2 linked regions of the Saccharomyces cerevisiae S288C genome follow. The protein of the gene in region 1 purifies or fractionates together with the protein of each later gene. This does not show direct contact. Each region holds a gene or a part of one and is shown in the gene's direction. Other genes may lie near its edges. The genes, in order: ARB1 and VMS1.

The links.
Region 2: the proteins of ARB1 (region 1) and VMS1 purify together in Saccharomyces cerevisiae (affinity purification with mass spectrometry; 2 studies listed by BioGRID). This does not show direct contact.

What each region holds. Positions count from the first base shown.
Region 1 is NC_001137.3:222,547-227,026, reverse strand, and holds ARB1 (ATP-binding cassette family ATPase ARB1), read left to right. Parts: upstream 1-1,827; coding exon 1,828-3,660; downstream 3,661-4,480. Other genes in the region: Smc5-Smc6 complex subunit KRE29, read left to right, coding at 1-169; PHM8 (bifunctional nucleotidase/lysophosphatidic acid phosphatase), read right to left, coding at 173-1,138; EDC2 (Edc2p), read right to left, coding at 3,951-4,388. UniProt on the Saccharomyces cerevisiae protein: ATPase that stimulates 40S and 60S ribosome biogenesis.
Region 2 is NC_001136.10:551,575-555,972, forward strand, and holds VMS1 (Vms1p), read left to right. Parts: upstream 1-1,679; coding exon 1,680-3,578; downstream 3,579-4,398. Other genes in the region: uroporphyrinogen decarboxylase HEM12, read left to right, coding at 286-1,374; triose-phosphate isomerase TPI1, read right to left, coding at 4,152-4,398. UniProt on the Saccharomyces cerevisiae protein: Endonuclease that cleaves polypeptidyl-tRNAs downstream of the ribosome-associated quality control (RQC) pathway to release incompletely synthesized polypeptides for degradation.

The sequences.
Region 1 (4,480 bases):
ATATTTTATTTTAACGATGTATGGCTCGAAATTTATTCCTTTTGGTCCCAAATGTCAAGTAACAGAATATTTCAAAGATTGTATTTTGGATATTTCTAATGAAACGACAAATGATGTTGAAATTTCTATCCTGAAGGGAATATTAAATTTGTTTTCTAAAATCAGGTAACAGTCATGATGACTGAACATTGATCTGTTGATTTGACCAGTTGACTGCTTCCCCTTCCTCTTCCAACTCTTCCATTTCCTTTATGGCAATAGAGGATGGACGGTAAACTTCAACGTCCATTATCAATGGAATCTCAAGGATATCTTTCAATATGGAAAATTGTTGCTTATTTTTGTGGTCCTTAGTAACAATATTTTCTGACTCATATTGGTAATCCTCTATCAAATGGATAACATGGCCCATCCCCATGCTCAACGCGCTCCGCACATTGCTTTCGTTGTCATCAATAAACCAGGCATTTGCAAAGCTCGACAACCCACTTTGCAATTTAGCTGTTTCGAAGAATTTTGGATCTGGCTTGCAAATGAATTCTTCCTCGATGGGTCTGTCGTAGTGGCAATAGGTTATGCCGTCAAATAGATCAGCAATACCTAATATTTTAACACATCTGATGGCATGATTTTTGTACGAGTTTGTAAACAGCCATAGTTTGTCAAATTTGCCGAGCTTCTTTTTCTTTAAATTGATCAGCAGCTCCCTTAACTTCCAATCAGGCTTTAAATAGTCTTGCAAAGGTAAGGAATCATCGATGAATGTATTATATTGTAGGACGTCATCAATTTGTTTATTCTTTATTAAACCTTTCACGGATAATCCATATTCTTGATAATACGATTCGATTAGGCGTTCTGCCTCATCGTCGTCAAACCCCAATTCGTATTTAAAGAAATTTGATAATGATTGTTGCATGAGCAATTGTACCTTCGTAGATTTTCTGTACAAAGTGTTATCGATATCAAAGAAAAATACTTTTCGAGCAGGATCCGGATCCGGTAATTTGGGAGGATCCACCTCGAAATTGATTTGTGAGCCTAGATGTGTCAAGCTTTGCAAATGCTCCTGATTTAGTCGTATCTGCTTTTTGATTTGGTTTCTATAAATTGTTCTGTAATCTTTAGCGATAGTCATGATTACGTGCGTATAAAACTTATGTGTTTTTTATCTACATTAAATCTTTTACCAACTATGCGTTAAACCGAGTTCGTATATACATATATATATATATATATATATAAACATATATTTCTATACATGTACGAATGTATTACATATGCTAAATGTATGTATATACATTATATGCACATCTCCTAATAATGAGCCATTTCAGTATTGCGGCAAATACGGAAAAACCCGCAGAAACGATCGTACAGATCCAAGAACTTGGTTTGTATGTGAAGCACGTTGCTGCCCCCTTTTTTTCTCAACCATCTCCGGCGGCGACCGCCGGCTTTTTTCTTTCTTTTTCTGGAAAAAGAAAAACCCCCTATATCACCTTTGACGTTTACTCACTAAATACGAAATGCATTACCCTAATCTCACTTTAAACGAATGAAAAAAGAAAGGTGAGGGGGGAGACCGATGGAAAAAAAAATAAAAATTTTTTTCTTTTTTTTTTTCTTCGTTCACCTCATCTCAATTAATGGCTTTTCCTTGACGTAGTTCAGGTAACTTGGTAGTGATTCTCTTATAAAAAAAAATATTATCATATTTAACATGTTAGTGCCCGTGTAGTTTTTCTTCTTCTTTCTTAACTTTTTTCTTGCAAAAATTGTTTTCTTCCCCTCAGTGCTACAAACAGTAACTTGACAGAACCAAATATGCCACCAGTATCTGCGTCAAAGGCCAAGAGAGATGCTAAGAAAGCTGAAAGAGAGGCTAAGAAAGCCGCTGCCGGTAAAACCATCAGAAAGCTAGGTAGAAAAAAGGAGGCTGCTGCTGAAGAATCGGAGGTAGATGCAGCCGCTAGAGAAATCAAGATGATGAAGTTGCAACAAGATAAGGATGGTCTTTCAGATCGTGTTGTCACTGGTGTTTTGAGTTCATTGGAGACTTCCCGTGATATCAAGCTATCTTCTGTTTCTTTACTGTTCCACGGTAAAGTTTTGATCCAAGATTCTGGTTTAGAATTAAACTACGGCCGTAGATATGGTCTTCTGGGAGAAAATGGTTGTGGTAAGTCAACATTCTTAAAGGCTCTTGCTACTAGAGAATATCCTATTCCTGAGCATATTGATATTTATTTATTGGACGAACCTGCGGAACCAAGTGAATTGTCGGCCTTGGACTACGTTGTCACTGAAGCTCAACACGAATTGAAAAGAATAGAAGACTTAGTCGAAAAGACTATCTTGGAAGATGGTCCTGAGTCCGAGTTATTAGAGCCTCTATATGAAAGAATGGACTCTTTGGATCCAGACACCTTTGAATCTAGAGCTGCTATCATTTTGATCGGTCTAGGTTTCAACAAGAAGACCATTTTGAAGAAAACCAAAGATATGTCTGGTGGATGGAAAATGCGTGTTGCGTTGGCAAAAGCTCTTTTCGTTAAGCCAACTCTATTATTGTTGGATGATCCTACTGCGCATCTGGATTTGGAAGCTTGTGTTTGGTTAGAAGAATATTTGAAGAGATTTGACAGAACTTTAGTTTTGGTGTCCCACTCTCAAGATTTCTTGAACGGTGTTTGTACCAATATGATTGACATGAGAGCTCAAAAACTAACTGCTTACGGTGGTAACTATGATTCTTATCACAAGACAAGATCCGAATTGGAAACCAATCAAATGAAACAATACAATAAACAACAAGAGGAAATCCAACATATTAAAAAATTCATTGCATCTGCTGGTACTTATGCTAACTTGGTGAAACAAGCTAAATCTAGACAAAAAATTTTGGACAAGATGGAAGCAGATGGTTTAGTCCAACCTGTCGTCCCTGACAAAGTTTTCTCATTTAGATTCCCACAAGTGGAAAGATTGCCACCACCAGTTTTAGCATTCGATGATATTTCATTTCATTATGAGAGCAACCCATCCGAAAACTTGTACGAACATTTGAACTTTGGTGTCGATATGGACTCACGTATTGCCCTTGTCGGACCAAATGGTGTTGGTAAATCCACATTGTTGAAGATTATGACCGGTGAATTGACCCCACAATCTGGCCGTGTTTCTAGACATACCCATGTCAAGTTGGGTGTCTACTCGCAACACTCTCAAGATCAACTGGACTTGACAAAATCTGCTTTAGAATTTGTCCGTGACAAGTACTCTAACATCTCACAAGATTTCCAATTCTGGAGAGGCCAACTAGGTCGCTACGGGCTAACCGGGGAAGGTCAAACCGTTCAAATGGCTACCTTGTCAGAAGGTCAACGTTCTCGTGTCGTCTTTGCTTTATTAGCTTTAGAACAACCAAATGTCCTACTATTAGATGAACCTACCAATGGTTTGGATATCCCAACCATCGACTCCTTGGCCGACGCCATCAACGAATTTAACGGTGGTGTCGTCGTCGTTTCGCATGATTTCAGATTATTAGACAAAATTGCCCAAGATATTTTCGTTGTGGAAAACAAGACCGCTACCAGATGGGACGGATCCATTTTGCAATATAAGAACAAATTGGCCAAGAACGTTGTTTTGTAATTGTGAAGTTGATCTGCGCCGTGCACGTTTTTACTTCCCCTTTTATGTATTTTAATAGCAATAATTTATATAACTAATCAATCAATAAAGAAAGAAAATCACCGATAACAATGTGAAGGCAAGAAGATATAACAATGACTTCTCCGTATGTGTAAGAATATGAGGGTAATTGCGTAAAAATGTATATAAATGCCATCTTTATGAATAATCCGACCTAAATAAAACCCCAAAAAAAAAAATGAGAGCCCGCCCGCTCAAGTAGAAATAAAAAAATTTACAATCACAGCTACTCAAACAAAACTAGGTTTGGGTAGCGCTGCCTCATGTGGGATATCTGTTGTGAACGAAGCACCGGCAAAGGCCGTATGACCAGCTACGTGCGGTTTCGAATCGATCGACGCCGCCGCCCTATCCTGGTACTGTCTCGTTTTCTTCTTCTTGTATTTGCACGATTTTTTTTTAGGGGCCTTATCATGTAGGAAGGCATCTATGTTAACAGTGACCATCGTTGCCTTATCGTCCTCGTGTCCCGTCTTCGAGGTGCGTTCCCTAGGTTCTCGCCGCTGTTTTGTAGACTTACCGAAGTTTGGTTTCTTGCCATTGGGCAAACTCTGCGTCGGTGGAACTAATATTTGAGTTTTAGTGGGGCGCATGTGCTCCTTGGCGGAAGGAGGACTTTCCCTTGTGACAATCTTGACTTTTGCAGAATGTTTTGTCTCGGAACCCATTATGAGAGATATTTAATTTTGACTATTATAAAAACGTTTGTGTTTGAGTTTCTGTTAGTGTATAACTTTGTATGTAGTGACGTTATTGTCCG
Region 2 (4,398 bases), on another chromosome or scaffold:
TTTTTCAATGTTTCTCGTATATACAGGACAGGGTTCGGGGTTTTTGGCGGCAGGAGAGGAAAGCAAAAAAAAATGAGGCAAGAGTTTTAATTTTGCCAGCGAAATGTTCTGCCATTTTCATCTTTACCGCTCGAATTAGTGATGTTCCAGACGAAGGTAACATAGAGTGATCGATAGGTTCTTCAATTCATCAAGCATTATCTCAGAATTGTGTTTGGTAAGCTCTCTTCGAGAAAAGGAAGAACAAAAAAAAAAAAAATAAAGCAAAGAACAGGTTATAACGCTATGGGTAACTTTCCAGCTCCAAAAAACGATTTGATATTGAGAGCCGCAAAGGGTGAAAAAGTCGAGAGACCGCCATGCTGGATAATGCGCCAGGCAGGTCGTTACCTGCCGGAATATCACGAGGTGAAAAACAATCGTGATTTCTTTCAAACTTGCAGGGATGCGGAAATTGCTTCTGAGATTACTATCCAGCCGGTAAGACGCTATAGAGGCCTCATTGATGCTGCTATTATTTTTAGTGATATCTTAGTTATTCCGCAAGCCATGGGTATGAGGGTCGAGATGCTCGAAGGTAAAGGTCCACATTTCCCAGAACCTTTAAGAAATCCGGAAGACCTCCAAACGGTATTAGACTACAAGGTTGATGTTTTGAAAGAGTTAGATTGGGCTTTCAAGGCAATCACCATGACAAGGATCAAGTTGGATGGTGAGGTTCCCTTATTTGGCTTTTGCGGGGGACCTTGGACTCTAATGGTTTATATGACGGAAGGCGGTGGATCCCGTCTTTTCAGATTTGCCAAACAATGGATTAACATGTATCCAGAGCTTTCTCACAAATTATTACAAAAAATCACTGATGTGGCCGTGGAGTTTCTGAGTCAGCAAGTCGTGGCGGGTGCTCAAATACTACAAGTTTTTGAAAGTTGGGGTGGTGAGCTTTCGTCTGTAGATTTTGATGAGTTTTCCCTACCATATTTAAGACAAATTGCCGAAAGAGTGCCTAAAAGATTGCAAGAATTAGGTATCATGGAACAGATTCCTATGATCGTTTTTGCGAAAGGGTCGTGGTATGCTTTGGACAAGCTATGCTGTTCAGGATTTGACGTTGTTTCGTTGGACTGGTCCTGGGACCCAAGAGAAGCGGTAAAAATAAACAAGAACCGTGTCACCTTGCAGGGCAACCTGGATCCTGGCGTCATGTATGGTTCTAAAGAGGTAATAACAAAGAAAGTTAAACAGATGATTGAGGCTTTTGGAGGTGGGAAGTCCCGCTACATTGTTAATTTCGGTCACGGTACCCACCCTTTCATGGATCCAGACGTCATCAAGTTTTTCTTGGAGGAGTGCCACAGAATTGGTTCGAAGTAATGTGGAAATATTGATTCTTATAGTGTTATAAGTGATAATATACGTTTATGTAAATAATATCTTTTTCACAACGTTCAAAAGTGGCCTTTTTTCTTTTTTCGATATTCTGTATATTTATTACGATTTTTTTTTTTTTCAGATATTTATTTTTGCAGGTTCTCTGAATGGATGTAGTGACAAAATCTTAAATAGAAGAAAATAAAAGATGAAGGTATATGAAAATAAATGAGAATGCATATCACCTTTCCTTCGAAGAAAAAGGATTTTCAAAAGATCTGCACGCCTGTTGACAAGCTTCCAATAGCATGAATTCACAAAAGGCGAGTAAAATGACTGGCTCACTAAAAAAGAATGATCTTTATATTTTTGATTTGTCTGAGCAACTTCTGAATTCATTGAAATTGATGAGCTTTGACTCCACACTGCGAGAAGTTGAAGTAGAGAAGACATCTGATAATGATAGAAACAAGGAGTCTGGAGATCTCCAAATAGCAAGAAAGAAGGTCACATCAAATGTTATGCGTTGTAGTGTTTGTCAAATGAGCTTTGATTCCAGAAATGAACAAAAGGCCCACTACCAGACTGATTATCATTTGATGAATGTTAAGCGTAACCTTAGGGGGCTGGATATCCTATCCGTTGAGGAATTCGATGCGCTGATTTCTAAGGAGCATGGTATCAAGTCTGAAGACGAAAATTCTGGCGGCGAGCAAACTTCAAGCGATCACGAAGAAAGTGAGGAAGCCAGCGATCGGGACCCGGACCTACAAACTAATAATTATATGGAAACTATAATCGAAAATGATTTGCAGAAATTAGGGTTCCAAAAAGACGAGTCGGATGCTATTAGCCATATTAATACCCAATCGCCCTACATTTATTTCAAATCGAAGTATCTTCAAAAGAATGAGGTCTTGGCGATTTATAAGTCTCTATTTAATAAAAGGAGTCTTTCCAACCCCAATGAAGCTTTGACTTTTTGGAATTCGCAAGAGAACCCAATGGCCATTTCAGCTCTGTTTATGGTGGGAGGTGGACATTTTGCGGGAGCAATTGTTTCTCATCAAAGACTCAATGTCAAGGGGAACGCGCACAAGAAGGACGAAACCTTAATTGAGCAAGCGGTCAATTTCTTAGAGCACAAGACGTTTCACAGGTATACTACCAGAAGGAAGCAAGGTGGTTCTCAGTCAGCAATGGACAATGCAAAGGGAAAAGCTAACTCTGCCGGTTCAGCACTTCGTAGGTACAATGAAAGCGCTTTAAAAACAGATATACAGGGTGTGTTGAAGGACTGGGAACCTTATCTGTCAAAGTGTGATAATATTTTTATTCGAGCTCGCAATGTCAGTGATAAAAAAATTTTTACTGATAATACCGTTCTGAACAAGGGTGATGAAAGGATAAAGAGCTTCCCTTTTACCACGAACAGGCCCACTGTATTAGAATTGAAGAAGGCATGGTGCGAACTTTCCTACCTGAAAATATTACCTAAGCCTGAACCATTGGCAGTGAAAGAAACAGTACAAAAGTTAGAAGTGTCGAACAAAAAGGACGAATTTAAAGAAAAACAAGAACCGTTACTGGAAGAAATCCAAACAGAAGAAATAATTTCTCTGCTGAAGAAAGGAAGGGCACCGTTATTGATATCCTTCTTAAAAAAGAATAAGCTTGATGGAAACTTTCGGTTAAAGCCTGAGAGTAAATATTCCTTAACCCCTACCATGTTACATTATGCATCGCAGCAAGGGATGAAACAGATGGCACTGATTTTGCTCTCAAATATTAAATGCGATCCAACGATCAAGAACAGACTAGGAAGGACTGCGTGGGATTTGAATAGAAACGACGACGTGAGACACGCGTTTCAAATTGCAAGATACAATCTTGGAGAGTCTTTCACTAATTGGGACGAAACTCATATCGGTCAGCCATTGAGCAGAGAACAAGTTGATGAAATCAATGAAAAGAAAAAAGCAATAGAGAATGAAAAGGCAGAAAAACTGATTAAATTGGAATTAGAAGCCGCCAAGGAAAAACAAAGATTTGCTAAAGATGCAGAGAGGGGTCCAGGCAAAAAGTTAACCAATATTCCTTCAATTCAGCAACAAAATTTGAATTCTTTGACCGATGAACAGAGACGCAGATTGATGAGAGAACAAAGGGCTAGAGCCGCAGAAGAAAGGATGAAAAAGAAATACTGAGGAATATCTCATATTCAAATTTTTAGGATTTTTCTTAGCATTTGCATATATTTTCATAGACACAGTACTTACATTTAATAACAGTAATTGAAAAGCAATATTAAAATATAGAAGCCCAAATTTTATATTTCAAATGAATAAATGTTGTTTTTTTTGGCAATTTTTTGCTCTTCTATATAACAGTTGAAATTTGGATAAGAACATCTTCTCAACGCGAAAATGACGCCTCCAGTGAAAAAACATAAACTTTCAATGCAGTCTTCGGTACACTTATGAGTAACCCATATAGAGATCGTACACATTTTACAAGGATTTAGAGACAAAGTAATATTCTTCGTTGATATAGAGGTGTTCAATTGTTAAATGCTTTTCTTCTTTTTATTAGAAAAAGCGCCTTGCTTTTTGTTGTATCACTTGTAAATCTACCGTCCCTTACAAGAACATTCACGAAATTTAAGTGGCTCAGAATGAAAAAGAAACAATATAAAAAAGCTTTCCGTAGTCATCAATTTATTTTACATAACACTAGATATAAAGAAAAGAAGATAATATTTTTATATAATTATATTAATCTTAGTTTCTAGAGTTGATGATATCAACAAATTCTGGCTTCAAAGAAGCACCACCGACCAAGAAACCATCGACATCAGCCTTGTCCTTGAAGGTAACGGCGTTGCTACCGTTAGCGGAACCACCGTATAAGATTCTCAATTCGCTGGCAGCCTTGTCACCCAACTTGGAAGCCAAGAACTTTCTGATGGAAGCGTGAATATCTTGAGCATCTTCTGGAGTAGCAGCCAAACCGGTACCAATGGCCCAG